5 linked regions of the Coturnix japonica genome follow. The protein of the gene in region 3 interacts with the protein of the main gene of each other region in a pairwise test. Links are inferred from orthologs where the notes say so. Each region holds a gene or a part of one and is shown on either strand. Other genes may lie near its edges.

Region 1 (6,431 bases), on a different chromosome or scaffold from region 3:
CAGCGATAACCGCCTCCCATGACAGCAGCACCGTTATTTCAGGTTCCCAGTTTTCTGTGCAAGTCACAAGCAGCTTTCCCCCCTTCTACGTGAGAACAAAAAGATACATTCAGCCCAATGAAGAGTTTCTTGTACCTTCCAGCTCACAGGAATTGACTCATTTTCCTTGGATCCCCATGCAATTTGAGACGTACCCTCGAATACTGTAGGTGTCTCCTGAAGCCGTAAATGCACACAGCATTTTGACATTCTCTTTTAAGAAAGAAATGAACGAGCACTTTCCCATCCAGAAAGATGAGCTCTCTGGGTGCAGCCCGTGCCCAAAGCAGCGCATCACTCAACCCCCATACAAATCTGGGCATGACAGTGGGAAGAACAGAGCAACTCAACGAGCAAATTCTTTTTGCTGTCCCTATCAGGCTTTAAAATCCCAGCTGATGACCAATTATTATATTTAGCTTATCATTTTTAATTTCTCTCCTGGCTTTCAGGCTCCAAGATTGATATTTCTTCCCCCCCCCTCCCAGAAATACATTTTTCTTATCAGCAGAGATAAGAATTCTATTTCCATCTTTCCAGAATCATAGAACGGTTTGGGTATAGAAGGAAGCTTTAAGACCACCTCAAATATTGGCCCTTAGGAAAAATAGGCATCGTGTGACAATTAGTTAAAAAATAAACCAAACCAGGTCGTAACGTTTCAGTGTCTGTGTGCCGATAACTGCAAATTGCCCATGTTCTCTCAGCCCCCACTGCTGCCCCTCTCCCTGCTCTCACACTGCAGCATGCCAGCCTGATTCCAGAGCAGCTTTTTATGTTAGAAACAGTTTGTTTTTGGTTTTTTTTTTCTATTAAAAAAATAATAGGCAAAAAAAAAGTTAAAAAATTGGAAAAAAGGGAAAAACAGGAAAAAAAGAACAAAAATGAAAGGAAAAAAAGGAACAAAGCCAGTCTGCCTTTACAATCTGTTAGACCTCTTAATTTCTCCCAAGTCTCCTTTCTGTGACTCGCTATTCTTATTCTAAACAGTATCCTCCAATGGTTTGGGAACCAATGGCACCGCAGGCCAAAGGGCACAACAACCCTACTCCAAAATAACCTCTTTCATATTTGCATATATTTACATATATGCATACTTATATATATAAGATATATATATATCTTTTTTCCTGTTAGTCTGAATCTTCCTCCGGCTTCTGCCATGTCCATCACTGCTTCCCCCAGAGCGTTCACACTGAATTCAATGGGACTTGTGGCAAAAAATCATATAAAACCACAGAATCCCATACACTCACGCTTTCACAGCCTCAACCCCACACCCATTACCCCACTCAACCCTACAGCCTCGTCCTCCTGCCCACAGCTCCAACCTGGCCCTGCATACCCAGACTCACCCTGGCTGTCCGCGCTGAAGGTCTTCAGGTCCAGAGCGAGTGGTGGCCGCCATGGGAAGGGCTCCAGGAGCCCATCCAGCACTCCCCTGCAGGTGATATGGGGCTGAGAGCCAGGGCCAGGCCTCAGGCTGTAATGGGGGGTGGCTGAGCCATTACCTGTTCCTGCCAGGGTCCCGAAAGCCTTTGGCGAAGGGGTTCCTATCGATCTTCAGCTTGGTGATCTGTGGGTGGAAGTAACATCTCAATGGGGCCACTGGGAAGCGGGAGGCTGGGTGGCCGCAGCCCCGTGGGTACCTGCTGGTTCTGGTAGGCTGTCACCGTGGTGAACTCGGTCTCCTGGAAGGAGAAGGTGTGCACCCCCTCAGCCGGCAGAGACTGAATCTGCGCCAGGTCGAAGCGGGAGTCCTGGGCGATAACATGGACACGGGGCTTGTATTTGTGCATGGACTGCAGGATGATCTGTGTGGGCAGAGAGGGCCAGGCTGAGCTGCTGCCCGGAGTCCCACTGTAGCCCCACTGCATGGCTGCCCCACACCTACGTGACCCTTGTCATCCATCTCGTTGTTGGTGAGCTTCACCCGGTCGAAGCTGATGATTTGCCTCATCCATGTTTCCCCCGAGCAGGGCGAGTCAGGGTGGATGTAGAGCCGTGGTGTGATGCAGGAGTGGTCCGTGTTCCCAGCCACCATCCACTGTGAGCTGTGGTAGACGTACCTGCACCAAGTGGGACACCATCAACACACTGTACTCCTGATGCGCCAGTCCATCTCCCCATCCACTCCTGTGTCCAACCATATATCCATACATCGTTCCAGTATTTCCATCCATCCATCTGTATGTCTGTCCCTCGGCCCATTCCTACATCCATCCATCCATCATTCCATTCCTACATCCATCCATACATTGGTATGTCCATCCATCCATCCACCACCCACCCATCGGTCCACTCGTACCTCCATCCCTCCACCCATGAGTGTGTCATCCATCCATCCATCCACCCTTCCATCCATCCTTCCATCTATTCATCCATCCATCCCCCATCCATCCCTCCATTCCCACACCGCAGTGAAGCTGTTGGCCATGCAGAAGGGTCCATCTCCGCATCCACCATTGGAACTCACCATACCTGTACCGTTTGGAGTCCACTGGCACAACGTCGATAGCGATGTAATACTGCTGCAGTGGCTCCAACCCCTTCACCTTCACCCTGACCGATGGGAACATCCGCCTGCATGGGGCACGGGGCAGCAGTTAGGGAGTGCCCATAGCGGGGGTTGTTTTAAAGAGGTGAAAATGGATTGAAAGGTTAAACAGATACTGGAGAAAATAATAATAATAATAATAATAATAATAATAATAATAATAATAATAAAAAAAAATGAAATTACAACAACAAAAAGTCCCACAAACGTAGCAAAAGTAAGTAAATAAAAGAAGAAGAAGATGAAAACAGTGAGGGAGAGCTGAGAAAAGAAACAAAAAAAGGAATGGGTGAGATGCAAAAGGGAAAACTGAGCGGGAAAGGCTGAAGGCAGGAACGAGGCCGGGGGGCCGGGGCTGCTACCTGCCGGCCTTGGTGATGATCATCTCGGTGCCGATCTCGTGGAACCTCTTCCAGAGCTCGGCGCCCTGCAGCTCCACCTGCACCTCGTCCCCCACCTCCCGGCTCTCGGCGCCGGCCTTGGGCCGCTTTTCTGCGGGGAAGAGAAAGCGGAGGGAGTGCTGGGGCGGCTGCCGGGACACCTCAACGGGACTCCCCCCGCTCTGCCCCGCCGCTACCAACCGGGCTCTGCGGCTCTGCGGCTCTGCCTGCAGCCCGCCCCGCTCTCCTCGTCGCGGCCGTCGGGTCCCTTTCTCTTGGCCGAGCGGCCCACGAGAGCTTCCACCGAGAAGGCGTGAGCCCGGGAGCTGAGCGCCATCCCCCCCCGCCCCCCACAGCCCGGGCCGGGCTCCCCCCGGGCGGCCGCTGGGCTCAGGCGGGAGGCGAAGCTCCGGGCGGCGGCTCCATGAGGGCGCGGTGGGGGCCCGCAGTCGGCGGCCGTCGGGGGGCAGCGGGCACGGCGAGGTGCTCCAAGTGAGGCGAGAGGAGGCTGCGGCTCTCACTGTTTGTTTTGGAAACTGATGGGAGCGTAAGAAACATTGAGTGACATTTGGTAGGACTGGGACGGGGGGAGGAGGGGTGGGAGGGGAAAGGGAGAGGCGAGGGGAAGATGGGGGAAGAGGAGCCGGCCCCGTCTAGGATCAATAAAAGAGTTACTGTTCTCCATTAAATTGTAAAACTCAAAGAAATTTGACATAATTGCACACCAGGGGCCACTTTCCCAACAAAAGTGCAAATAACGTTTAACCAGAACCAGCACAAAAAAAAGGAAAGAAATGAAAAAAGAACGAAGGACGGGAAAGAAAGGGGAGGTGAGGATGTTGGGGGGGGGGGGGAGCAGAGGGAAAGTGGGGAGAAACCCCCACGCTTTGGCTTCCCCCGATGCCGGCTCCGGGCTCCTGCTGTCCCGACGGGGCCGCTCCCGGCGGACCTCGGTGTCCCCGCGCCGTGTGTCGGCGCTGAGTGCCGGTTTTGCCTCCGTCGGGTTTTTTCTCCGCACCGACTCCGGGTGCTGCCAGAGCTCCGTCTTTACACGTCCGGCGGCGGCAGCGGCTCGGAAACGGAGCCTCGGTGGGGCAGGGAAGCCTAAGGTCCCGCTCCACCACACGACTCCTGCATCCCCACATCCGTTCTGCAGGTACACTCCAGAATCCAGTCCCACTCCAGCATCCCAATCCCGCTCCTGCACCCAGGTTCTGCTCTTGTATCCCAGAATCCTGTTCCCACTCCAGCATCACAATCTCACTTGTGTCTCCCAGTCCCCCTCAGTGTCCCAATTCCATTCATGCACACCAGTCCTGCTCCAGCATCCTGATCCCACTCACACATCCCAGTCCCGTTTCTATGCTGTGCTCTCACTGCAGTATCCCTGCAGTGCTGTTGTGCTCCAGTGGCACCCACATCCCAAAGCAGATGGGGGCTGCAGCCAGGGGCTTGGAAAAAAATAGAGGAAGTTCAATCTGTGGACAGTGTTGGTAAAATATCAACTGAGGCAGGTGAGCCTTCAGGAGGGAATGCGTTGAGTTGGTGAGGTGCAGGTGGGGATGGGGCGGTGGGAGCACTGAATGTCAGCCCTCTGCTGATGTATCCAATATGTGTCAGTGCCACAAGCTGCTGCTGGCCTCACAGCCCACATGAGGATGCACAATATTGAGGATGTACAATACTGAGGATGCACAATACTGAGGATGCACATTGCTGAGGATGCACAATACTGAGGATGCACATTACTGGGGATGCACAATACTGAGGATGCTTGTCACTGAGGTTGCCTGTTACTGAGGATTTTCGTTACTGAAGATGCTCATTACTTTGCTGAGAGCGGGCTCAGCACATTGATCCTCATTTATACTTGTCTATACCCATCTGTACTTCTCTACCCAGAGAAATGGACCACTCCTTAAGCATGTTGGTAATTGGAAGGGGGTTTGTGGGGTCCCTCCCTTCCCAGCACTGATAGAAGCCAGCTGAGCTCACGGGCCGTGAACCTTTATCTCTGCTGACATGACAGATTATTAAGAAGTATTTCAAGTAATCTTTGATTTCCTCAGCATTGCAACACATTGCAAGAACTTGGAGTGGGATCAAGCGGCCCCTTTTTAATTTCCTACAAGGAGAAATAAAACAAAAATAAAGCACAATTGAGACGACATAATCAGGAACATTTTGTGGGTTTAGGTCAGATGAAGGCGGCAGGGCTGTGTTTCCAGGGGCTGCTTTCATTCATCCGAGACCAACTCAGAACCCCTCCCTGGGCTTTGTCAGCTTATTGTCCTTAACAAATTGCGGGGTGGGATGTCATATGTTTCCATCATCAGAAAATGGAGTGGAGAATCCCTTGGCATAAAGTTCAGATGAACTAACTCCGTTTTGAAGCAAGTCTTGTGCGGAACGTTTGCTATCCAAGTTTGCTTTCCAAGATCCTGGATAGCGCCCATTAAAGCATTGAGGCACACAGGTAGATGCCAAAGCCTGGCATTGCTGGCCGTGCTGGGGCTGCCATGAGGCATTTCACTGCGCTGCAGCAGCGCTCGGTTTTGCCCAGATTCACTTCAAATTGAAAACAAAACGAAACCAAACCAAAGGAAAGGACGCACAGCCGACGCTGGGAAGACAGAGATCCTCTGTGCTCCGTTACGCACCGGTGCCGTTCATCCTCTGTGCCTGCACCTGAATGTCCCGAGCTTATGTAACACCGTGCTGATAAATTTGGCACTGTCAGGTCTAACAGAGGAGGGCGGAGGGCCATTCAGTCTCCGTTTTGAGAACCGTGAGCAAGAAAACCTTTCTTTGCACGTAATGTGAAACAAAGCCCTGTTTGCTGACTCTGGAAAATCTCCACTCACAATGTGGATGGAAAAGTTGTTTTTATCTCGTTACGGAATTACGGGATAGAAACCTCGAGACTGAATCCGTGCCCACGGGTATCAGACACAGCCACAGGGCAGGGCTGGGAGCGCGCTGCTCAGCTCATTCCGTTGTGCTGCGGGAGAAAGGCGAGCGAGAAGCTGACGGTGCACAGCGCAAATCGCGCTGTTTTCTTGCTGGAAGAGCTGCATCCCTGCGCACCGCCGCTCTCGGCCACAGGGAGGAGCGGGAGTTTGCTCTGGAGCCGCTTTACAGCTGAGCTAAGGGCGGCTCGGAGCGGCTCCGTGCTGGGTACTGCTGCACCGACCTTCCATTTCTCTAAGCACGGCCGCTTCATCTGAATCATTGAGCCATTGCTCCTCAGCAGATTAACGACTATTTCCAGCAAACAATGGTTTGAAATGACACTCCTAAAGTCTAAGCAAAAATGGGCAGGGACACAGCGGCTTAGCACGGCGCTGCTGAGACTGCTTCCCCTTGCGTTCTCGGATGTCAGGTCCCACAGCGTAGCTTCTATTTCACTCCCCTTCCCAGTTTGCCCATCATGAACTCTGAAGGACCTGTGGGTG
Region 2 (6,470 bases), on a different chromosome or scaffold from region 3:
TACCCGGGAGGGTGCAGCGGGTGGGAGGGAGGAACTCCTGCAGCCCCACTCAGAAGTGAGACGGAAAACTCGGTGCCAGACCCGGGGTGGGGGGTTCTGCCAAGCACAAAGCCGACGTTCCTCTGCTCGCAGCTCGTGGTGCCGAGGCGCTGCTCAGCATCAGGGCCAGGGCCTCTGCGATCCTCTTCTGCCCAACACAGGCAGAGACCACAAAGCCCTCCGGAGCCCCACGCCCGCATTGCTCCAACAACAGGCAGAGCGAAAAGCCGAGTTACCCCGTGGGCACGGCCACAAACGGAGATGCACCAGGCTGAGCAGCCAGAAACAGGCGTGTACGTCGAAACAAAGATAACTAAAATTAATCGAATTAATTCATGCTCTGATAACTCGTTCGCCCTTGCAGCGGGCGGGGAGCCCCGGTCCCTCTGCTATGAGGCCCCCAGGCTGGGTGCGCGTACCTGGGCGTGCCGAGTTCTGCTCTCGCATTGATCAATACGGCTTCGGGCAGCGCACTGGAAAGTAACTACGTCTTCCCGGATGGACAAAAATAACACTTGCTAAAATGTGGGGTTTTGAGGGGCTGGTTGGTTTGTTGGGTTCATTGTAACGGACGTGTTCATTTTCATTACTGTTATTATTATTATTATCATTATTATCATTTTACGAGAGATGAGGGTGCGCGATCCCGAAGGCTGTAGCGGCAGAATTCGCTTAGGAACGCGCTGCCGCCTTTCTATGTCTGTGAACGCCACGAGCACCGAAACACACGGAACTGAGCATTTCCAACCTCACTCTTTAGCTCTGTCCCTGGAGCTCCTGCGGGTCCACCCGTGTGGAGCGACCGCGTTTAGGAGGAGGAAACCCCGAACTCCCATCGGAACTTTCCCCAGTGCCGGCTGTCGGCTGTTCGCCGGGCCGAAATCCGCCCTCGGCCGGGAGTTAATCAGAGACACAGCATCGACAGGGCCCCGCGACACGCGGCGGGGGCTCTCGGCCCCGCAGTGCCCCGCGTGGGGCTGGGGCAGAGCTAAAAGAGCCGCCGCCGCCCACGGCCCCGCATCGCTCTACGCGCGGCTCCTCCCGGCGCTACGCGAAGGCCGTGGGAGGCTCACGAGGCTCCCCAGGCAAAACACGGTCCCCGACGCTGCGGCACGGAGGAACGATCTCGTTTATCTCACGGTACACGCACGCCGAGACCGGGGGAAAATCCACGACAGACTCGGTAGCCGAGAGATGAGGCATCCCAAGAGAGGGGCGGAGAGGAAGAGGACGGAACCTTCCTCAGCCTCCCTCGGGCGGCACTGCGTTCCCCGGGGCAGACGAAAAGCGGCTCGGCGAAACCCCCCGGGCTCGAAGTGAATGTTTGCGAGAAGTTCGATAAATCGGGGCCCGTTCGCTCTCTGCTGAGCCGGATCGGTGCGCGATTTTCAATGCGGTGTTCGGGACCCGCACCGATCCGCCTCCGGCACGAGCGCTATAGCCGCGCTATTTCCTACTCCATTCAAAGCAGCGATATGGAATCGGGAAGGTTTGGGACGCTATAAAAACTCCCTCCTCCAATTTTTGGTATATCGCCAGAGATTTGGCGACGTTTAAACGCTCGAGGTGTAAAGTTTGTTCTTAATGGGGCCTTATAAAGCCGGAATGTGGGGGCCATTACGCGGCCGCGAACCAATTTCCACCCAGGCAGCAGAAGTGCGCTGCTCGGGATTTGGCTTTAATGAAGTGAGCGCGCAAATTGCAGCCGGGACTTCGTTTAAAGTCCATCAGGCTCCTCGGAATGGTTTCCCGAACTGTTCCTGATTTCCTTCGCTTTATGAAAAACACCACAACGGCTCGCCGGGGCCTCGGGCGTTTTGCAGCCAGTTTTCTATCAGTCTCCAGCCCGGTGAGCAGAAGTGTTGGGGTGTTTTGGTTTTGTTCGTTCGAATTCGTGGAGGATAAAAGGCAAATCAAACTTCTAGACCGACACAAATACATTGTACGGACACCGGGAATTAGTGAGAAACTGTTCTAAGAAAGACCAATGCGCGCATCTTCTCTGCCTTGGCAAAGCAGATCTTTGTCTCTTCCGTCCCGTATTTGTTAATTTGAAAGAGGAATACCCTAAAGCCGTGATTTCTCTCCTTTTTATTCTTTTTTTCTTCTCTTTTCTTTATTTCCTTATTTTTTTTCCTTTCTATTTTCAGCTGTTCTCGCTGTTCGTTGTCTCTGGGCGGCCGCTTCACTCCGTCTCTCCGGGACGGCACCGGTAGCACCGCGCAATGGGAGCGCCGTGGCCGGGACTGCGCAGCGCCGAGCATCGGCTCCCTCCGTTAGCACCCGGCTGGGTTTTTACTACGGATTTCTTTCACTTAATCGTTTGGTGATCCGTCGCACTGTTTCCTTAAGCTTCTCTACGTTCTTCACGGCGGCTTTTCGGCGGTTGATGCAGGAAAATCACCAAATGCGCGCATTTCTCACTATGTACAGTACAATATATAAATCGCAATATATACCGTGTAATATATGGATATTGCAGTAAGCGTATATATAAGTTACAAAGGGATTTAAGTGTGACTGAGCGGCCCGGGAGCGGGGGAGGAAGCTCCTATCCTTTCTCCTACGTGGTGGCAGCAGACATCCTTTGGCCTTCCCCCCCACCCCCAGCACCCCAATACTGAAGGAAGAGTAATTACCGAGAGCGACCTCGCTCCGAGCCCGAACCCCGCGGGGGGCAGCGACGTGGCCCCGTCCCGTTCGGCGGCGCTCAGAGGCGGCGCGCACCCACCCGCGGCTCCGCGGCCGCGTTGGAGGACCGGAGAGATGTGGCAGAGTGAGAGAGGGACAAGAGGAGCCCCAGGGCTTCGCTGGAGCCGGGGGAGCCCTCCGGGCTACCGTCTGCCTTTCGAATAAAATAGTACGTATAATGATGGTAGCGTATTATAAAAGTAGTGTATCATCGTAACAATCATAATAGCGTATAATAAAAACTGTACTAAATAAACACGGTAATATCGATGGTAACAATAGTCGATTTTAAGATACGGGAGCGGAGCCCCGTGTTCTCTGTCTCTAAGCAACACGCAGCCCCGTTTCCCCCATCCCGCCGCCCTCCACTCCCTCCCAGCCCCTGAGGGTCCCGAGCCGGGCAATGCGCTGCTCCGGGGCTCTCTTCCCTTGCCCGGCGCCCCGCTCGGTACCCACGGGGCAGACTCAGCGGTGACGCGGCGTTTGTGCACCCCAACCTCCCTCGGTGGTGGGGGACCCGGGCGATGCGGAGCGCGAGTCCCACCGCGGTCAACACAGAGCACAGAGTTGGGGGCAGAGGGGGAAGAAGGAAGCGAGAGGTGCTCGGAGTCCGAGAGAGATATAGGATCGGGAGGGAAAGTAGAAAAGAGCTACGGAAAAGTCACTGTAAACTGAAAATACTAAGAAGAAAAATAACACAAATCCGAGAAATCTCCGCACAACGCCTTCCCTTCTCCTCCCCCCCAATCCGCCACCCCCCCCCCTCCCCAACTCCGGGAGTTTCCCGCAGCAGCTGCCGGAGAACGGAGCGGCACTGACCGGGGTTGAGGTCCAGGCATTGCGTCGGGTCCTCGCCGTCGCCCAGCTGGCCATTGGGGCTGAGGCTTTCCATGGACAAATCCAGCCCCTTGTCTTCCCAGTCCCGCAGTTTCCTCTTTTTATTCGTCCCAATCAAGGCTTCGACCGAGAATGCGTGAGCTCGGGAGCTGAGGGCCACCGCAGACCTCCGCCTCTCGCTCATCTTCCCCCCGGCCCCGGCCCTGGGCGGACGCGGCCCCGAGGCTCCAGCACCAGCGGCACAGCCCCGTCCTACATGGGGCTGCGGTGCTCCGCGGGGCAGAGCTGGAGGCTGTGCTCTGCTCACAGGGGCAGCGGGCCGGGTTTCATCTTTTTCTTCTTTCTTTTTTTTTTTTTTTTTTTTTTTTTTTTTTTTTCTTTTGCCTTCTCCCCTTTCTCTCTGTCTGTCTCTGATTGATCCAAACTTCTGGGAGTCGGTTTTTTGTTGTTGTTGTTGTTGTTGGTTTTGTTGTCGTTTTTTTTTCTCTCTCTCTCCGAGAGTTAGGCAGGCTGCTTGCGCCTGTCAAAACGGGGGGGGAGGGAGAGGGGGGGGGGAAACCACCTAGTGAAAATATATATATCGTTGGCCAATGGGAAAGAGGGATCGGGAGAGACCCAAAAGCTGTGGACCAATGGGAAAGGAAGGAGAGCCGGGTTTCGGGACGAGGAATTTTGGCCGTCCGCGGCCCCCGAGCACCGGGCGGGGAGTTAACCCTTAACGGAGCGCCTCGCTCTGAGTGCGGGGAGGTGTCCGCGCTGCCTACGGGGTCGGGAACGAAGCCCCCGAAAATTAAAAAGATAAGCAATGTGAGGTGTTGGAAAGAGGCCTTAAAAATCTGGGGGTGCTGCTTAATCGTCATCCACACCGTGTGCCGTGGGGTCGGCAGTGGGGTTGGTGGTGGGGACTTCTTGCTGTTTTGAAGTGAAACTTGCAATGGTGAATGGAGTTGTTATTTTATTTTATTTTATTTCATTTCATTTCATTTCATTTCATTTCATTTCATTTCATTTCATTTCATTTCATTTCATTTCATTATTCGATTTTATTTTAATATTCGATTCCATTTTTTTGTTATTTAATTTAATTCTATTTTACCGTATTTTAGTTTGATTTTTATTTCTTTATTTCTGTCATTTTAACCATTGAGCGAACGAACCCTCCAGGCACAGCCTCGGGCAGCGGTAGAGATGGCATCGGCCCCTCTGCCTGCTCTGTCCCAAACCCTTCGAGCTTGCAGAGAAGGGAAATCGGGGCTGAACTACGAGAGCAGAGGGCAGCTCTATGATCAGAGAGCGGGGATCCGTGCGATCGAGAGAAACCCCGACTGGGGAAGGAGTAGAGATAGTTACATCTCGTCCAAGGACCGAAGGGAGGCTCTGGATAAACAATAAACAATAGAATTATTTCTATAGGACGAGCTTGGCTTAGTGTAGACCGAGCCATTTAGGGCAGTGGATCGCGGGGATCGACTTTTGTGATCGGAGGCTGCGGAGCGCAGTGGGGACGAGGGTTGGGGACGTCTGGCGACACTGCAGCGGTGCCGCGATTGGGGGTACGAGAAACACCTCGGACATCTCTGCCCGACCTAAAGCGGGGTCCTCCTGGGTTCGAGTGGGGGAAGGGGGATTCGGGCCGAAAGGCGAGAAAGGAACGATTTCCTCGGGAAACGCCGACAAAACGGAGTGCCGCTCTCTAGGCCGAGGAACGGGTTTTGTGCGGCCCCGCCGCCCGCCCCGCACCCCCCGCCGCTCCTTTCCCCTCCCCTCCCCTCTGGGGCATCGCCTCTGACGGGTCGCGCCCGGCCGGGGGTGCCCCAGCCCGAGGGGAGGGAGGTCGCGTTCCGGATCCCGGGGGAGAGGGGGGAAGCGGGGGGAGAGCAATGCGCTCCGAGGGAGCGTTCGCAGGGGGCCGCGGCGCAGCGCCGGCACCGGGGCCGGGACGGAGTTAGGGCCGCACAGGACACCGCCGGCCTCAAGCCCGACGGAGAGGGGCTGTGAGCCCAACCAGAACCTGCTCCCTTATTTACGAGAGAACACGGAGAGCGAAGAGGGCTTCTAAAGGATCTGGAAGGGAGATTTTAGGAAGAGAACCCAAGAAAACATAATTATTTATAGCGTTTTAGAGAGAGGAAATGGTGTTGGAAAAGAAGCTCAATTTGGGGGGCGATGCATGAACACCGACATAGATTTTCCTGGGTTTCAGCGTGGTTTCGCGCAACGAGCGTTTCCAGCAGCCCCAACTCCTTCCCAGTCCCTGACCGAGGGGCAGAGACCGCACTAGGAGAGCCGGGAGCGAGGGCAGCGCCCAGCACCGCTCCCACCCTGACCGAGCCCGGGGGGCAGCCCCTCCGCCGGCCCTTCGGCCTCAACCTCCATTAAATCCAGGAAACCGCTCTCTGGAATCGAGCAGTGGGAGCAAGGGGTCTCAGGGCCAGGCCACGAGATGCAGAAAGTAATAATTCTCTCCCGCTCCTCCCCGTTGCCTGAAAATATTTGTTTGTGGATGGAAATGTTTGCAAAGGGGAGAAACGGGGGTGGCGGCAGCGGCGGAGTGCTGCACAGATGTGGTGCTCGCGGGGCTGAGCGCAGCCTGCAACACTTCTGCACTGCTATGGGGTACGGCACCGAGGGTCCCGCAGCAACATCGAGCACAGGGAGTCCTTATTCTTTCCCCCCCCGTCCCCCCGTTGGTAATTGAAAACAACGAGCGTGGGCAATGAGCTGCCCGATAACGGGGGCTCGGGGTTTGTTACTCTTCAGTACATCGATCGCCTTCAGAAAGCAGAGGAGCAGCCGAGGCGGTGCCCTCGGAAGAGGCTTCGAGCCACGAGCCACGAGAAAAGCACGGCAGCGGGTTGTTTTATGGTCCGCACAAACGGTATCGCTGAGTACGACGAACTAAT
Region 3 (6,219 bases):
TTTGGTCCAATCTACTTGACAGAAAACACAGAAAGGACTGAAGATCATGCTGAGCCCCTCTGCACTCTCAGGCACAGGAACAAGAGGATGTGTGTGTGTGTGTGCACTCATTACAATTTGATCTGAGCTGTTCTCATAAGTCCACAGGAAAAGGGATCCTACAGATGGGTACCCTATTCCAGAGCTCAACAAGACACTTCCCAATGTAAAAACTGAAACAGAATCAACACTGCTTCAAAATCAATACTCCTTGCCTTAAACTTCACAGAGCATAGAGAAAACTAGTTCTGTCCTTTGCTACAAAAAACTTTTTACAGCAACATTTCACACACACTGAATCCTACTCAACATAGCTTTTTCAAGGTCTAATTCTTTTACTCTGCATTTAAAAAAAAAATACTATTCTTATTGCTATCCTCTAGTCTTTTTTGTTTAGCATGTATGTTTCTTAAATACAGTGTTTAGATGGTAAGCTATTCCTGCTGATGTCCACAAGTGCCAAATAGAGCAAAATAATTACCTTCTGTCATATAGGGCTCTCTCATTGTACATCTCAGGTCTTCTTGCCTTTTTTTCTTTAAACAGAAACTTAAAACTTTAAACAGAATGCAGTAAGTTTTTGCATTGTAAGGATGAATACATACTGGATTGCATTTAAGCATCTATGAGAAAGGAAAATCATTTATCTACAATCTCTCTATCACTGCTGTATTGAGGACTGAAACAACAACCCACATGCCTATCCCTGAAGGACTGTTAGCTTCCTTCTCTTCAAATTGTAGTTTATTCATTTGTTATTTAGAAACAGATTTCTTAACGTTCTAATCATCTGCAAATCACTCACTGAGAAGTTATGTGTCTGAGTAACGCTTATGAAACAAATCCAACTGAGAAAGAATAGAAAAAACCATAAAAGCAAAGTATAGAATTGGTTGAAGATTTTTCAAGGAAAGAAACTTGCCGGAATCATGAATCAATGGTGATTCATGAAATATTTTCCAGTTACTTGGTCTGGCCTTCTATAGAATACTTCCTGGGAATCAAGAGAATCCATCCACGTTTCCTGACAGGCTTCTGAAAGTTGGAACTGTGGATCCTGGAAACCTGTTTTCCAATGCAGCTACTGTGAGACTAGGACACAGTTCCCAGCACTCTTGCAGGAGTCCTGAAAAACCCAGGGACCCTGGGAAAAGAGACCTGCAAAGGTACACAGAAAGAGCACCAATGCAGAGGAATGAACGCAAGGAACTGGAAAGGCTCCCATGGAGAATATTTCACTGAAGAAACTCTACAGGTCATTTGTCTGAAAACCAAATGCTGTTTTCACATGTTATGATCTGTGCTTTCTTTTAAAGGGACATTCCACTCAGAGATGGAAAAGTTTAGCTCAAATCCTGCTGCACGTTAGTTATAAATAAGCAGTACCATTAGATGCTAGACATAACTTTATTGAGAAATCCGTGTTATGTAATTAAGATGTAAATAAGATGACAAAAGCAGTCTGGTTTCCTTGCAAAGGTGATTTTCCGCACCTACCCCAGTAGATACTTACACTTGTGGTTGTACAGTGATGTCTAAATACAAAAACTTCAATATTTGTTTGATGAAAACATCCCAAAGTAGTACCATACCTCCATACTATGCATTTATAACAACAATAAGCCTGACACACTGAAGCATTATGCAGAAGATACAAAATGACTTCTAAGTTCTTGTATAGCACCAGTTATTGTCACAGAATAAAACCAATATTTTCTAGGTGTAGTAGTTGCTTTAGATCTTGATAAAAATGGTGAGACATGTAAGACCTAATTAAGGTGGGTGCAAAATATAAACGCTAAGTAAATCCACAAAAGCAATTTCAATAGCCTGACTGGCAACTATATAAAATATATTTATTAAGGTAACACGAGCAAGTTTGTGGAGTTCTTTGCAGTAGTAAAGCTTATGCTACTTCAAATTGTTCTGTCTTTCAAAGGCAAGGCGTGGCTTTAAGTAAATATTAATTTTTTTAATGGTGAACTTATTTCTGAAGATGAAGTCATTGTGACAATCTTAAATCACTCTATTATTTAAATATAGGAGGTAATGATTAAATGTTTTCACATTTGGCAATTTTTAGAGAAATATTTTTAAAATTTATTAAAATAGAAACATATTTTTCATTCTCAAGCGTGAGCAGGAACACTAACGACATGTTAAACGTACATATGATAAGTAACAAAAGAAATCATCTTAAAAGCAGAACAAACTCAAGAAAATCCAGTTGAAGGCTGAGTTTTCCAGCATCTAAACCAGTAGGAATACAAGTATCAGTCTAGAGCTACCATATTAGTATAAAAAAATAATGGAAGTATTTACTGGAAAGAACAGACATACCTTGTGTTCAGTTGAGAAAGATGAGAAGGCCTGTGATGGTATATATTGCCATCATTGAGATCAGAAAAGGAGAATCTTTTCTCTTAAACATTGGAAAAAACTACAGTTTACCATGTACACATGCATTTCTGTCAAATACAATAGTACAATCTGCAAAATATTACAGATGTGCATATTCCCATCTTTCTCCATCATTAAAACATGCCAAGGCAATTAATTCACATCTGCTTTTTCCAAAATTTTACTTTCCTTCTTTTCCTTCTTTGTTAAACACATTTCCAGCAAATCAGTTACAGGACAGAGATCCTTCTATCTGTTTCTTGCCCTTTCCCACTTCTCTTCCAATACTACTATTGTTTCCTCTGGTAGAATTGTCACCTTAATTAACTTGTGGGTTTAAGATCTTGACCTTGCATGAACCTGGGTAGCTCAACAAACTTTCTAGCTAAAGCATCACTTCCCATTGCTGTTTAGGTATCTGTAAGCATAAGCTCTATGAATAGGTTAGCACCAAAGTTTTACAAGATGCATATCAAAAGTTAATAGTTATCTCCTATTTAATGCTGCTGGAGCACTGCAATTTACAAGAGCAACCTCAGGAGCAAAAGACATAACCAGATGTGCCCACCACATACATACATACACAATTGGCAAAGTGATTGATTTTTGTACCAGACACAGAAAAAGATCAACTCATGTTTACTTTCTTCACAAGACCATGGAGGCAGCAGCAAAGCAAGAAAGTGGTAATTATTTAGATTCAGATCGTACTTTCATGTGGAAACAGGCTAGTTCAGTGACAGTAAGATGAAAAGAAAAAAAATTTTACAACATGGTATTTCCTCTCCTTCCATTGTATGCTCAAATGAAAAGATAGACAATTATAAACCATCATGCATGGTTTTATAATACTCAACATAAAAGCAAAAACCACCAACAGTCAACAGATAGTAGAGACGTCCCTGAATTATATGCACATCATGATAGGATACAAATGTACTATGTTTATATAAAAATATATTCAACACTAAATTAACATAGTCCAAATAATCCTAGGACAATTTTGCAACAGAAGCTGCAAGTATAAGTTGCTACCACAGTACTTTTCAGATATTTTGCCTGTTGGCTAATTATTATTTTATGCAAAAGGACAGTGACAAAATTAGTCTCTTTACTTTTCACCTTTATCCACTTGCCAAGGAATCATACTTCATTAGTCAGCATTTCTTTTTTTTACTATTCCACGTTAAGTAATATACCCATTTCAAACTGAGACAATATTTTAAGTCACTTAAGTATTTGTTTGGGAATTGGTTCAGGAAGTAAAGTCAATTTAATCCGGTATTATACTCTATACTTGGAATAGAACAGATGAAATGTAAATAATTACTGAAATGTTGCCTTCATTCTGCGCAGCGTGTCCTGGATTTTCCGAGAATGTTTTTCTGCTGGTATATGATGGAAGTTGGCACAGTTGTCAGCGGCCAAAGCAGAAATGTCTGCATCCTTAAAACGAGTTATTCTTTGTCTGAGGTAAGACTGCAGCTTGTAATCCGGTGTAAATGTGTAAGGATTCTCTTGAAATGCGTGAACTTGGCTCACAACTTTCGCAATATTTCTTGAAAGAAAATATGTTTAAAAAGATTAGTTTATGTTGCTATTGACAGAAGAAAAAAGTTTCAAGGAAATAAAAAAGCACTGAGCATTTACCTCTACAGTTTTTGTCCACTTTAATGTAAAAATGACTGAATTAGCTAGACTTAATTTGCTAGATGGGAAATGCATTAGCTCTCATTATCTCATTAGATAGCATTCTATCTTTCATACAGCTAAATAATTACCTAAGTTTAGTCCATTTGTGAGCTCCATTTGTCATTGTGAATCCTCCAGTTTCAAGTTGTTGGACATGCATAGCTAAAACATGGGCAGATGGAATTGTTGGAAGTGTTTTGAATCTTTCTCCTTCCATCAAACACAAACTGTCACTTTTTAGAAACACCTATTGTGAAAATGCACACAGATAAGTAACGTATTACATTTAAGGCTAGTCTTTATAAGGAGTTCTTCGCTTCAGGTGCTGAGCACTACATATCATATTTTTCATAAGTTCTAGTTCACAGCTAAAATTGCATTTCAGGATTTTTCAGAATATATTACATTCAGAAAACTCCCATTTCTTGAATTCTTCAAGAAAATATATCTAATTTCGCAGTTTGCTTTGAAATGACTTTCTTGATTCTTAGTCACATGGGATACATTTTTGAGAAAAACTGAGGTGAAAATGTAAACCCAGACCAAGAAACAACAGTCTGACAATAATTTAAAATCTCCTTTGTAATTCAAAACACTAATTTTGGCTTTCATTACTCCTTTAAAAAGAACTTGAGTCTCCCTCACTCCCAAAGAAATATTTTATTTAAAGACCACATACTATACCTCAACAGCCTTGAGTTCTTCTATTATTTCAGCTACTTTTGCAGGTAGAATTTTCCAGGCCTTATAATAAAAGAGAACACATTTTTGTTTCTCATATTAATGTCCATATTTGAACAAGCTTATTTTAGGCAAAATAGTTACAACAGAGAGTCCCAAACTTACTGGCAACTGTCGTACAATAAGATTCTCCAAGCCTGCTAGGATTTGCATTGCAGTAGCAAAATTTCTTTGTTCATAGCAGGACTTTGCTATAAGAAGAAATTTTGATAACAAGCTCACCTGCAGCTGGAAAAAAAGAATTTAGTTATACCATTTTTTGTTCTGCTCATGTGGGTTTAGAAATTATTACATTCAATCATTTGCTAGGAATATGCTTTATTCGTATACTGTCTGAGCTTGGAATTGGAAATTAGGCCTAATGATTTCATGGAAAGAAGTATCCTTGCAAGTCGTGGAAGGTACTAAGCCCAAGGTTTATTGCAGGTAATTTCTCAATTCTTACAAGGCTGAAAAGTCACTAAAAAAAAACTCCAGGGGGAAAATGAAGACTAAATACTTCCCATTTAAATTTCCTCACATACAGTGTCTGATACTGGTCATACACATTTAAAAGCTGTCAAAACACATCAACTTCATATGACCAATCAGTACCAAAACATTTGTTTAAAATTTTCTATCTCATATGTGGTTTGAGAAAAATTAAAAATAGGGAAACCCAATATAAACCCAATAAATAATCCAATAGAAACTGTGATAAGGGAATTGAGTGGTTAAGTGTATGACCTCTGAGAGTTAAAATAAATGAATGTGAGTAGATGCAGACACAGGCTTTTTACAGTGGTTAGAAAGAAATCAAGTGGTAGCTGCCTAGTAAAATAGAGACACATGTTTACTAAGATATTATTCAGTTCAGAAGCCAAAACACTGATCAAGTTTAACAAGTGACTTTCCACTAAACTATCAGGAAGGTATATAAGCAGTATACACAGTTCTGAGATTTCAGTTAATCACAGTATTCAACTACTGTTTGGTTTTGACAAAAATAGTAGCTGCCCAGACAGAAACCAGATTACACACTTCTGAAATGTATCATATCATATAAATCTAAAAAATGACTTAAAATAAGGAAAGTAAAAGAAAAGAAGACAGCTATTCTCTTTCAGAAATTGTTATCAGAATTGTTGACTGTATTAACTGTAGTAACTACACCGTTTTGGTCTTCTCTTTCACTGATGCTTTTGTTAGTCTTTCACCTCTTCTCAGGCAACCCCTTTCTTACTTTCTATCAGGTTTTAAAACCTACAAAATATCAGATGCTCCTAATGACAACAAATATAGTTGTTAAATACCAACTCATAGGCGCATTATACATTTATGTATACGCATTAACATATAAATATTCCA
Region 4 (6,117 bases), on a different chromosome or scaffold from region 3:
ATAGGTATGTACAATTCCCATTCTTTCATTCCTTTTGACTTAAGCATTTGCCATCTTAATAACCTTAGATGGCTTTTTCACTTTGATTTGAGGTCCTGTTTCGCCAGGCAAAGAAAGCAAGCAGCATCCTGTTGTGCAAACAGAGCCACCGAGTGAAATATCCTTAATGAATTATTAGCTCAAAATATTTGTAATACAGGATAAATATTTGTAAATGCAACATAAACATGGAAACTAATGAATGCCAAGAGAGGTCAGCATTCAGTATATGTCAATAGAACATCATCCTTTGATCACTAACATCTCAGAGGACTGCATTACATTGGATGTTAACACTGATGGCGAACCAGTGTGATCAGTCATTGTAGGACAGCAGCCTGGTTTCTTTTAGGCTCTACCCTACAAATCAGAAAGCAGTTCTCATAGCAGAGGTAGTTGCTGCCCTGAGCTTGTCAGTATGGGCCTGGAAATGTTCTAAAATGTGGGTTTATTCAATCTTACCTGAAAGGGTGGGTAGTTTGGCTGGTTTGGATATAGAGGAAGTGGAGGGAAGCTCAGACTCGGCCACATTGGCTGGTTTAAGTTTGTGGTGGTTGTAGTAACGGGAAAGTGTGGATTGGAAGTGCTGGCATTGTATATAACTATTTTTTTATCCAGTGCTGCAGTAGTTACTGTAAAACAAAACAAGGGTGAAGATAATTAAGCATTCCCTTCATTAAACCATGAAGCACTTGCAGCTAAGGGGATGCACTCCCTGTGAGCAAAGTGTTTAAGATGCTTTTGCAGGCTGTATTTCTGGAGACCCATGCTTAGAAATGAGCAGATCAGATTCACATGTAAGGCCATTAAACCCCAACCCACAGGACCTGGAATGAAGTTAATCTCCTGAGCTGTAAGAATGACTGGAATGGGGCAAAAGATTCTTGTTTTGAGCTCTGTAAGAACAAAACTATCTGAGACCAGGAAATTAGCACAGAAGAAACTGTGTCCTGATCCATACCTGGATTCTGCAGTGCCTTTGTGGCTGCATTGGAGTCAGGTCTGGAGCAAATCTTGGCAAGTGTTGGGAGCTGCTGCTTCTGTCCTGCAGTTTGACTTTCTGCCATCAGAGCTGGCACAGCTGTGCTATTCTTTGCAGCACTGACAGTGCCATTCTGGAAGAACTCTTTCATTGTCTTGCTTTCCTCAGCCATGAGTTGCCTGTCTGGACCTTTGGCAATATCTGTGTGCTTCAGCAGCAATGGCATCCCCAGCTTGTTGCCCTCTGTGCTACCAGCACCTGTTGTGCTGTTGTCCCCCAACCCCTTGGAGATCCTGGGAGAGCTTGTTGAACGCAGGAGGTTGGTGATGGTGGATTTAGCAGAAAGCTGAGCATCGCAGAGAGCTCTTAATTTCATCTCTCTTTCTCTGTTTCCAATCACTGCTCTGTATATGCTCTCAAGTCCCTCTGTTTCATCTAGCAACCAGTCCCTGTAAGAATGTGAAATATAGGGATTCTGTTGAGAGCTTGACATTAGATTGAACTCATTTTCTTGACTGCTTCTATGCCTTGCATTTCTGTTTCATTTATGCTCCGTTTAAGCCTCGAGTATTCCTTCTCAACCGGAATGAAACCTACCTCCAGGACACTGTTCTTCTCCAAAGAACCACATAAAATGGGAAAATTAAAACAAAATCTGAACTTAACACACCTATTTGGGAATAACTGAAGTTGGGTGATGGCGTTTCAGACTGGAAGCCATGAAGTCCTCTAGGACTTACAGTGGGGTGGCTGCCAGGGCTGAACAATGCTGTGTCTCTAAGGCACAACTCAGTGTTTGTAGTGGTTCCCTACTCAAAATCCTCCTTTAAATTCCACGTTGCTCTTTCACAGCCAGGTATGTTCAATAACTTAACGTATCATCCATTTACTCTCCTCAGCTTGAGGGGAAGTGATGCTCTGTGCATGCACTGTACAGATACATATATAGTACATAAATGGATTGCTAATATTAGTGAAATCTGGATAGTTAAATGTAGCTAATTATCTCTAATCATAGGATCACCATAATTGGCAGGATGCTGCTTTATCTCCCTATTTTTAAAGAACAGATACCTTAAAATCCTCAACAAACCTATACTATGGGCATAAAAATAGAAAATTGCTGTCATTTCCAAAGAAAGCTTATTTTCTACAATGCTTTATCCCATCTTTCACTGGGATTCCTCTCTCCATTGGTGGTTGCAGCCACCTCCGAGGCTGGAGGTGGACACCTGACCTCACCTGTAGGGATTTTAAGGAAGTTCCCTTGAATTCTGTACAGCGATTTGGTTTCATTGCTTCAGGTTTGGTATTTTTGGAAGGTTCATTGACTCAGGGGGGTGTCTTTGAATAGCTGGTGAGCAATGAACTGCACTGTGTGAGTGTATGCTGAGGGCACTTCTTTGCTGAAGAGCCTGTTTGCTGAATGCAGGGAAATGCTGCTGGCAGAAAGGGTCAGAGCAGCTGCCCAAAGTAACTCAAAGATCAGCAGGAGAACAATGAATCATTTCTCTGACCCTGAGGAAGGTGCTTTAGCCACTGCGCTTTGCTGGCTGTTTAATTTCATCTTAGTTGGAGGTGTTGAGTTTGTTACAGGTCCTTGCTGGTTGTCCCAAATCGTTCTTATCTGCTTCCTCAACCCCATTACAGTGGCGTGAGGGTGGGCTGCAGGGTGGGCTGCTCTCACTGCATTAGATTAATTGCTAAAAACTGAACCTATATATTTCTAATGGTGGCTTTGCTTATGTCGTTTAATAGTTCACAGTGGTTTATACCTTATCTCTTTGCTTGGACTTCCAAGCAGCTGGCATGACCAAGTTACGTGGCTGAGCTTGTGCTAATTGTCAAGATGTTTCAGCAGCATAAGTTGACCTGCTGCTGTAGGCCAGTGCAAGTCCATTGGCTTCACTGGTTATTCTTGGGTTGTTTGGTTTCACTTTGTGCATTTATTCTAGGCCAGTTATTACTGTTATTGTTATGGATATGGAAGGGAAAGGAAAGGAGTCAGGGCTCCAAGATGTACTCCCTGGGTTTCACAGTGACACAGCATAGGGCATTTCCCCTTCTGATCCTCCACGTCTTCAGCTAAAAGCATCGAATTATCAGCTTTCTCAATCTGTGATGTTAGTCTTAAAAGATACGACAGCTGTTTTTCACTGTATCAGGCAAGATGTGTGACTTAGGCTTTAAGAAGTGGACACGAGCTAATAACTTGCTGATTGATAGCTGGACATGTAAATTTCACTCTTTTTCTACTTCAGGAGCATACAGTAAATATTATCCCATTAATCTGAAGAGCATCCTTCCCTCCCTTATCACCATTTGTCCCGCAGAACATGATTTGGCATAATTTTTTCTGTGCTAAATTCAGCTTCTCTTTGTAAAGATCAGCTGTTTACAGTAGCTTCCTTATAACACTTTAATTTTCGATTTTGTTCCTTTTGAATGCTGCTTTCACTTCTTCCTGTAAATATTTTGATGTGTGTGTAGTTGTTTTGCTTTAAATGTTGTGGGGAAGCAAAAGCAGCAGCTGCTTGTGGTGCTTCAGATTTTCAAGTAGCTGGCTTTCATGGGACAAGCTCTCCCAAAAAGACTGGTTATATTGGGACAAATGGGGATACTCTGTCCCATTAAGAGGCTGCCCAAAGCCAACACAGCACCCCTGTGCTCCAGCTCTCTGTTTCTAGGGGTTATGAGGGCTCTGTTGGAGTCAAGCCCCTTGTCCTGCAGTGCTGGTGGTCACTCACCCGCTGTGGGCACCGTTCTTGCTCCATGGGGGTCCCTGTGGGTCCATGCAGATGATGGGCTGAAGCTCCTCGGGGGGGCTCTGCATCCGTTTCCAGATCTCATGGCAGGCCTTGTCCAGCCCGTCTTGGGGCGTGTTGTCGTGGATCCAGATGTGCCGTGGGTATGGCCCCAGTGGGAACGGCCCCTCTGATTTCACTGCTGGGGCTGCAAACCCATTTATGCTGGTGAGCATCCTTCAGCCTCTATGCATCCAGGCTATCTTCTTGAGTGGTGTTTTGTTTACATGGCAAACGGAAAGAAGAGCCGTGGCAACCACGGAACGCCAGGTCCTGGCAGTTGATAACTGAAATATCTGCTTGTCCTTGGCACAGCTGGGAGCTTCCCCTCTCATAAACTAGATCCCTGTCTTTCCAGGGTCAGCATTCAGCTGTCCTGCCCCCTTCTTTCTGTACTGGAGCTTTGCCTCTTCCATTTAATGCGCAGGTGATGAAGCTCCAAAGAGCGCATGGCTCTGCTCACTCATGCCTCTGCCCAGATAAATGTTATTTTCTCCCTACCAATAGTGATGATATGGTTAAGAAAGAGTAAAATGTGGTAGTTAGTAAGATGTTTTGCATTCCTATGCTGGATGACTAGTGGTGAAACTCTCTCAATTCCTGGCATAATTCCCTAAGTGTGAATGGTTCTGTGGTTCCTCATTCATCACCAAGGGTTGTGTTTGTGATCTTCATTGGGGGGAAGAGAGAAAGGAGAGTCCAAGGGACATGGGTTGGGGTTTGTGCCTGGTATTGGCATTTGTTCTATGTGCCCTTGCCAAGCTCTCGGGTTCTCAAAGTTCACTGTTTGGGCAGGGAGGAGAGATGAGTTGCAGTGATAGATGTTGGCTATGGTGATGGATTCTACGTTCATCACACTGCATTTAGCAAATAAATACTTTTTATTCTTAAAGAGAGAGTAAGCTTTCGTTGCTAGGTGTGGGGCCACGCTTAGTTGGGAGCCCTTCATTTGCAATAGGTATGGCGTTATTGCCCAGGAATAAAGTGGGACTGTGTCTCCTCAATGACTCGATTATGCTGGCTGCTTGCTCCCGGTGCGGGGCTCCAGACCTTGGCTCGGCTGTGCTCTGCTGTGTGCAGCAACCCAGTTGCATCTCCGGCTACAGCCTGGGGGTTGGGGGCCGAGGTGGATGGCTGTGTAAGGGAGAAGCGATGTATAGAGCTGTCAAGTGTGGTACCCTGTTCTGTGATCCTTTTCGATTTGGATCCGTGCCTTTGAACAATAAGGTCTATTTGAATAGGACACTGCAGTTTAAGCAGACATAAAGCAACTCTTTCATGTAACAGCGCTGGTTGCCTTGGCTCTTGGCATTGGCTCACAGTGTAGGCAGTGGAAGGATTCAAATGCAGAGGGGACACAGGGAAAAGGGAGCGAGAGAGAGGCTGGATCCGAGGGCGGAGGGGCAGATTTGCGAGCCCTCGATATCATTTGTTTTTAAGCTGTCAAATAAGCTCATTCAGGGCAACCGGAACGAGCCCCAAGAAGGGGGTTTTGCAGCAAAGCAACTGCAGCAAAAGCAGGGCGGGGGTTGGGGGCGGCCCCGAGCCGGGCTCGGCTGCTTCGCCCTGCTCCGTGTCGGGGGGAGATGGGGAGGATGCGAGTCTCGGTGCTGCGGGATGGGGCTGCTGCTGGCCGAGGGGTGGTCGTTGGGCAGTTGGTTGCTGGGAATTTTGGGGGGGCGGGGGGAAACGAACGACTTCTCAGGGTGTTTTTTTTTCCTTTCTGTTAAGCTGTAGTGTCACGTAGTTGTTGTTTTTCTTGTCCGCGGATCTGCGCATCATCGCCACGATAATTAAGTTCCTCACTGTATCTTTTAAAGACCGCATTTTTTTCCTCCCCCCCGTATCTTGCATGCAGCCGTAGGGACAAATGGGCTAACAGACGCTTAAAAAACAACCAACAAGGTGGGGGTTAGAGGAGGATGCTGCTCTCAGCCCGGTCCTGGGGGGGTTATGGGGGGGCTGGCTCAGCCCGTTCCATTGCCCAGGACAGGTCAGAGCCTGGGGCTGGTCCCTTTTATGTTCCGCATTTACCCAATTTTGCTTCATCACCAAAATCGTGTCAATATCATCAAGTTGTTTACCGGGGGGGGGGCTGTGCTGCTTCCCAGCTGATGTCTTTGTAGCGGAGATGCTCTATGTGTGTCCGTGGGCAAAATGGGGGGGGCTGCCACGCCAGAAACCTGTGGCGTGCATTAAAAAACAAATGCCTAAACATGCTAAAGCGTAATTTGCGGCTTGCTGGTGGTGCTGGGGCGGGGGCTGGTGGGAGGATTGCGTTGGGTCCAAGGA
Region 5 (6,129 bases), on a different chromosome or scaffold from region 3:
CATGACCATAGAACAGTTTAGAGCATTGTTCTCCTGAAACATCAGTTACTTTTCAGTAAGCTTCATCACCTTGGTTCACTATGGACGCTACATAGTGATGCAAAGCAGATGTGTCCAGAAAGCACAGGGGGCATGGGGTGGGTGACACACTGACCACAGCAAAACACCTTGTAGGAAGGCAGAACATTCATGTCTTCCTCAGCTGAAGCTTTCAAATGAGATGTAAAACAGAGCCCTGACCACTCATCGTCATTAACGATCCCATGGCAATTCCTGCAAGAGTAAAAATGTTAACTAACATGTCCTGGCCAATATCCAACTCGGATAATTGCATTCTGCTTCCTAAATTCCCCTTACAGTTTCAATTGGATTAGTTTTTCTTCATCTCTCTTCCCCAAACCCCTCCTGCATAATGCTTCCAGCCCACGACGGCTGCTGAATTCCACTCCAGAGGTGCATGAATTATCAGTGTTGGGCAATCCCAACATCCATTTGGATGCGTTACTCAGAGAAAGCCCTCCATGAGGCAAAGTAATACCCTTACGGCTCTCACTGAGGAATATTTAACTTTTCAAATCAGAAATCCCAGTGACGTCAGTAGGATTTGTTTTCCTTATCATACGGCACAGTTATTGTACAGGTACCATGGCCAGTGTCCCACAATTGAGCGCAGTCATTTGCCGCGCTGTATCCACAGCTTAAGGACCCAGAAGTAGTTGCTCCATCTTAATAGATCTCTGCTACATTAAAACTAGAGTAAATAAATATTCACACAGCAGTTTTTCATTGAGTCAGTCACGTTTAAGTGTTGTAAGAATCAAAGAAGCTCCTGCTGAGCGCATCAATCTGCAGATATAAAAGAGGAGTGCATGCGCATGTTCTTGCATGAGAAATTTGGAAGTTCTTTATCTTGGCATAGCAATGAAGAAATTTAAGGGCTGTGAAACATGGATCTCCTATTATTTGTGATGGGTACTATACGTTAGGTACTTGAAATAATGTGATGGCAAACTGCAAAGTCCTGACCCAATGCATTTTATGGAACAGGAGGAGGAAAGGTGATTTATGTGCATAAGAGCAAAATCTGGCAAGCCCTTGATCTTCTTGTAGAACAATCCCAAAACGATTGTCAAGATTGCTCAGGTTTCTCATCCTCTGTATTTCTTGTAATAGAACAATTTCAACCAAAATGGTGTTTTATAGACACTGTTTAAGGGGTCATTTTCATTTGCTCTCCAGGTTACTCAGAAGAATACCTTTCATTCCCTGTTCCAAGAACTATAATCAGCAGTTGAGAATAGCTTGTTTTCATCTCCAGCCTGCTTTGCGTGCCTGGCAAAGCATCAACCCACAAACTTGCTACCCACTTCACTCTCGAGTGCTCCAATAGCAGAAGGACATTTAAAGTCTGAGAGTGATTGCAAGCAGAATGCAATCAGAAGAAGAAGGAGCATAGAAAACATCATTATGTCACATTTTCCCTACAATTTTTGTAGCCCTCCTCCATTCCCCCCCACCACCATTAAAACTGAACTCACTTAATAGAGGTTGCTTTGAAAGCATCCACACCTGCCAGTGCTGGGTTGGGTTTGTTGCTTACATCTCTAAATAGCGTGGAAGGGAGCAATGTAGACTCCTGCAGTTCAACAGCAAAAACTCATATTACTAAAGCATGAAATTGGTGAAATTAAGAGTTGCCAACAGAGAAGCAAGCACGGTTTAGGCTCATCTGATCCATGCAGATGGATTCACATAAGAATATTAAGTAAGAATCAGGTGGTGACTGAAATACAGACTACATTCCTGACCTTCATATGGTGCTGCTAAGGAGAAAGTTGATCATCAAGAGTGACCAACTTCTTGTTCCTCTTGTGCTGTCATTCTGGGTACCAGTCTCAACTCCAGCTCATTCTCTTTTGCTGACATCCATACAGGAAACAATGCCCACCCTCAATCAAACATCTTCCCACAGTTTCTTCCAATGGAGAAATGGTCTTGAGCTGGAGGACACTCAAGGTAAGTAATTACTGGCACTTCTACAGAAAACACAGGATTCCAGCTAAGTCCATTCATTGAAACGTAATTGTAAAAGCATCTAGCTGTTCATCCATGACCTTAGCTTTATGAGCATCTCTAATAGGGACTGCAGTACCATGTCTCTATTTAGCTTCTCCTTCCTTCCCACTTCCTCCCAGGACAATTCTGCCTGGAGCAGATACATTGGAATTACTGCTCTCTACAACACAGCATCCTCTGCCACAACAATCAATAAAAAATTAGCATGACTACAGGAACAGAAGCTTGGGATTAGAGAAATCTAAGAATAGAAGGATTTCCCTCCCCATCCTGATGAACCCTTCCAAAACCCATCTGCAAACATTTTAATTCCCTATCAGCTTGCTGGAGGAAGTCATTAGAGAGGCCAAATTATCACAGTGGCACGTGGTGCTGCCTAAGTGTCTGTCAGTCAAGGAAACATCAGCCTGCAGGTCCCCCCCCCCTGCACCCTCATTCTCCCACCCATGGCAATGGTGCTTAGAGCTCTGCTTGAGCGATGGACCCGACGCTGACCTTCAACCACGAAGCAGGGTGTTATTTCAGCTGCTTATTTCAGGTCCCACAGACACCATCACCAAGTCATAAGAAACCTTCACTGCCTGATTTGCAAATGCCACCCATCTCAGCCATCTCCTCCTTCCTTATCCCCGGTCCTCCTTGCCTCCATCCCCAGTAGCACCACAGACACTGAACCACCCAAGGAAGACAACCACGGCACCGTGAGCTGCTGCTCAGCACCAGAACATCACTCTGCTTAGCGAGGGAAACACATGCAAGGAAAAGACCTTCTTGCCAATTAATTAACAGCAGAAAGCAAAAGCCAGAAGGACCTGTTGCAAATAAATAAATAAATAAATAAAAATGAATTGATTCCGAATAAAGCTTCGGGTGGGTTGGGGGTTTGCTTTCCAGGTTTCAGCTCACACTTACCGCTCCCATGAACGTTTAATACCACAATTAAAAGAACACAGTCAGTTCAGGTCGGAAATCCAGCACGGTTATTGCTCATAGAAGTACTGAAGCCGCGTCGCTGCAGCACTGGAGGGTTATTTGCTCCAAGGACCTTTTTAATATGGCTGTATTGTAACACTGCAGTGCAAATGCCTCTCCGCTCACGAGAACAAAATTCAGCTCAGAAACAACTCGTGGGCTCTGACGAGCGGCACGTCGGCTTCAAGCCGCGCTCATCCAACAACGGCGTCATCACACGAGAGCGATGCTAACGGCTCCGGGCAGCACTCGGAGCACACAGACAGCCCCCACCCCGGGCACCGACACTGGAGCAGCGGCGGAGGGACCGTATGTGAAAGCAGGACGGCACAGCAGCGCTGCTGTTCCCCGCAGCCAGCCGTGCCCACAGCTGCACCCTGCAGCCCTCATCAACCCATCCCATCCCGGCGCTAAGCCCGAAGCCGGAATTCACAGCACCGCGACTCAGACCCCGCGGAGTCACATCCCGAAGGGGTTACGCCTAATTGCTCACCAACCTGACCAAGCGGGCACCTCCGTTAGCAGCGGGGCACAGCGAAGGGCTGAAGGGCAGCACCGCGAGGAACGCGGAGCCGACGGGGGACAGCAACCGAGACAGACACACAGACACACACACACGGCACGAGCCGCCCGGTGCTCACCAGCCCCAAGTTCCCCCGGCAGCTGCAGCGCTGCCAACGGCTCCGCGCCCCCCACGCGGGGCTTTCCCCGCGGCCACGCAGCTCCGCCGCCCCTCCGTAACGGAGCAGCCCGCAGCCCCCGCCTCCCTCCTTCCATCCCTCCTTCCATCCCTCCTTCCATCCCTCCTTCCATCCCTCCTTCCATCCCTCCTTCCATCCCTCCTTCCATCCCTCCCTCCCTCCGAGCGGCCCAAACTTTACACACAAGCTCTCCCCCGCTCCACGGCCCCCCTTAGTGAGCCGGGACCCCCGTACACACACACCATACAACCCGGCCGCCTCCTCCTCCCTACCTGCAGCCCGGCTCGGCCGCCCGCAGCGCCGTTCTCATCCTCCAGCGGCAGCGGAGCGATGCGCGCACCCGACTCCGCGCGCAGCTCCGCGCGCAGCTCTGCGGCCCCTGCAGCCACCGCGTTACCGCATTCCCCCTAATAGAGGGGCGAGGCCGAGCCTGGCAGCATCCCCCCGCCCGGCCGGGGGCAGAAGGAGGCGCCCAGGGGGTGAATGAGGGACCTGGAGCAGCTCTCAGCGCAGAGATGCGGAGGTGGTGGGACCTGGAGCATCTCCCGATGGGGACAGGGTGACAGCCACGGGGTTGTGCTAATGGGGAACAGAAGGCTGAGAGTGGATCTTAACAGCCCTGTTCAGTATCTAATAGGGGTCAGGGGGATGGGATGGGGCTGGGAGCTTTTCAGCCATGCTCAGTGACAGAATAAGGGGCAATGGGCACAAGGTGGGACAAAGTTCCATCTGAACATGAGGAAGAACTTTACTGTGAGGCAGCAGAGCCCCAGCACAGCTGCACAGACATGGTGGGGGGACTCTCCTTCTTTGGAGAGATCCAAACCCACCTGGATGCATTCCTATGCAGCTGCTGTAGAGAACTGCCGTAGTGGGGTTGGACTGGGGAAGTACAGAAGTTCCTCCTGACCCCTGTGGTTCTGTGGATCTGAGACAGCATTTTTCACAGCCCCAACATCTCACCAGCACCCCTGTGCCATGTATCTGTGACAGCACGGATGGTTTCTCCTGCCTGTTAGGATCCAGGTGCCAGCCCTGAGCCATCTGATAACAGCTGCTTCAGACACTTTGTTATCCCTTAGTTATGGACAATAACAGGTGAACAAAACTGCTGGACAGCCTATGGGACTGAGCCATACCCTGATTGCCCTCCTTATCCTTAGTTGCTTCCAGTCTGCTCCTTTCTGGGGTTTAGGAGAATGGGAAGAGGATCCACGCCAGCCCAACCTGCTCCAATCCCACCACATCCCCATTACAACTCTCAGCACAAAACACCTGTCAATCTCATGACCTGCATTCTTCCACTGTTTCCAGACCCCTGCCTACTTTTAGCAGAACTCCTGCTGAAGTGGGGGAGGGTGGTCAGTTGGATTTGGGAGGGGACCCCATGAGAAACTTGCATGGAAAGAGCTTAACCAGACGAGTCAGTACAGAGAGCATCAAATATGCAAATGCTCATCAGCAATCCCATCCAAACAGGAACCGGGAACTGTCTGTAAGAGATGACTGCATGAGGTCTGTCTGCAAACGCTGTTAATTTCTATTCCTTAACGCAGATGGCTGAGCAAAAAGCCCAGGGATGCTGTGAAGGAGAGTGCTGGTGAGCTCACACAGAGCTGCTGAGGCTGTGTGCCTCCGAGCAGCAAGGAGCAGAGAGCTGGGAACGAGGCAGGAAAAGCAGAAAGGAGGGAATAATGCTGCAGCCACAACCACAGCCAGGGAAGGGCTGTGCTCTGCTTGGGGCAGGCAGAGCTTGGCATGGAAATGAGGTTTCCCTGTTACGTTACTCAGCAGCTACAGCACACATTGCTCTGAGAAAGCAGCATGCAGCACGGACTCTGTTGTGCTCAGCTGTTGTTCAGCTTAACTCAGAGGTTCCTTTAATTGCAAGTCAAAAAGTCCCATGTGGTAATGAAAGGGTTAAGAAAAAGCTACTTTCACCCTCACATCTTGACAGTGACATCAAGGTCTCCCTGCTTCTGTACCCATAGCACATTTCCTTTCCAAGTCTCACCATTATGGGCTTAGAACCAAAAGTATCACCCATGGTGCTAGCAAAGATCCCTGAAGCCAGGCATGCAAAGGCCCCCCATCTGAGCAGCTGGGGATGCACTCTGCTGCCCTTTGCACCCAGGCACAGCTAAGGGTGCCCCAGGTTAGGGTGCCTGCTTGACCCAAAATTGCCATGAGGAAATCACACCTACCCAATGTACTTACCCTCAGCAACTCTCAGACACGTAACTTCCAGGCAAGCGTGAATGCAAATGTCTGCCAAAAGAGAATTATGACTTGCCCTGTCATCACCTTCATCACAGCCGGGGCTTTTTTTCCTTCTTTTTTATGACTTTAGGAAATTATTGGCTTTCTCAAGCAAGACATG

Evidence for each region.
Region 1: the proteins of homeobox protein VENTX-like (region 3) and TBX22 interact in binary tests that used the Homo sapiens proteins (3 or more experiments, as listed by UniProt). The two-hybrid records come from large-scale screens. The link is inferred for Coturnix japonica from reciprocal best matches to the Homo sapiens genes VENTX and TBX22.
Region 2: the proteins of homeobox protein VENTX-like (region 3) and TBX15 interact in binary tests that used the Homo sapiens proteins (3 or more experiments, as listed by UniProt). The two-hybrid records come from large-scale screens. The link is inferred for Coturnix japonica from reciprocal best matches to the Homo sapiens genes VENTX and TBX15.
Region 4: the proteins of homeobox protein VENTX-like (region 3) and C23H1orf94 interact in binary tests that used the Homo sapiens proteins (3 or more experiments, as listed by UniProt). The two-hybrid records come from large-scale screens. The link is inferred for Coturnix japonica from reciprocal best matches to the Homo sapiens genes VENTX and C1orf94.
Region 5: the proteins of homeobox protein VENTX-like (region 3) and DAB1 interact in binary tests that used the Homo sapiens proteins (3 or more experiments, as listed by UniProt). The two-hybrid records come from large-scale screens. The link is inferred for Coturnix japonica from reciprocal best matches to the Homo sapiens genes VENTX and DAB1.

What each region holds. Positions count from the first base shown.
Region 1 is NC_029519.1:1,462,283-1,468,713, reverse strand, and holds the start of TBX22 (T-box transcription factor TBX22), read right to left. Parts: upstream 3,809-6,431; 5' UTR 3,314-3,808; coding exon 3,178-3,313; intron 3,089-3,177; coding exon 2,959-3,088; intron 2,623-2,958; coding exon 2,521-2,622; intron 2,109-2,520; coding exon 1,934-2,108; intron 1,854-1,933; coding exon 1,689-1,853; intron 1,616-1,688; coding exon 1,551-1,615; intron 1,481-1,550; coding exon 1,395-1,480; intron 1-1,394. UniProt on the Homo sapiens protein: Probable transcriptional regulator involved in developmental processes. This is major determinant crucial to palatogenesis.
Region 2 is NC_029516.1:70,578,996-70,585,465, reverse strand, and holds the start of TBX15 (T-box transcription factor TBX15), read right to left. Parts: upstream 4,097-6,470; 5' UTR 3,752-4,096; coding exon 3,550-3,751; intron 1-3,549. UniProt on the Homo sapiens protein: Probable transcriptional regulator involved in the development of the skeleton of the limb, vertebral column and head. Acts by controlling the number of mesenchymal precursor cells and chondrocytes.
Region 3 is NC_029521.1:18,714,178-18,720,396, forward strand, and holds the start of homeobox protein VENTX-like, read right to left. Parts: upstream 3,763-6,219; 5' UTR 1-3,762. Other genes in the region: kinase non-catalytic C-lobe domain-containing protein 1, read right to left, coding at 3,766-3,997, 4,221-4,378, 4,816-4,875, 4,978-5,100. UniProt on the Homo sapiens protein: May be involved in ventralization.
Region 4 is NC_029538.1:4,085,275-4,091,391, forward strand, and holds the start of C23H1orf94 (uncharacterized protein C1orf94 homolog), read right to left. Parts: upstream 4,088-6,117; 5' UTR 4,002-4,087; coding exon 3,769-4,001; intron 1,471-3,768; coding exon 1,001-1,470; intron 672-1,000; coding exon 502-671; intron 1-501.
Region 5 is NC_029523.1:23,460,472-23,466,600, forward strand, and holds the start of DAB1 (disabled homolog 1), read right to left. Parts: upstream 4,082-6,129; 5' UTR 4,022-4,081; intron 3,278-4,021; exon of another isoform or gene 2,989-3,277; intron 1-2,988. UniProt on the Homo sapiens protein: Signaling adapter of the reelin-mediated signaling pathway, which regulates the migration and differentiation of postmitotic neurons during brain development.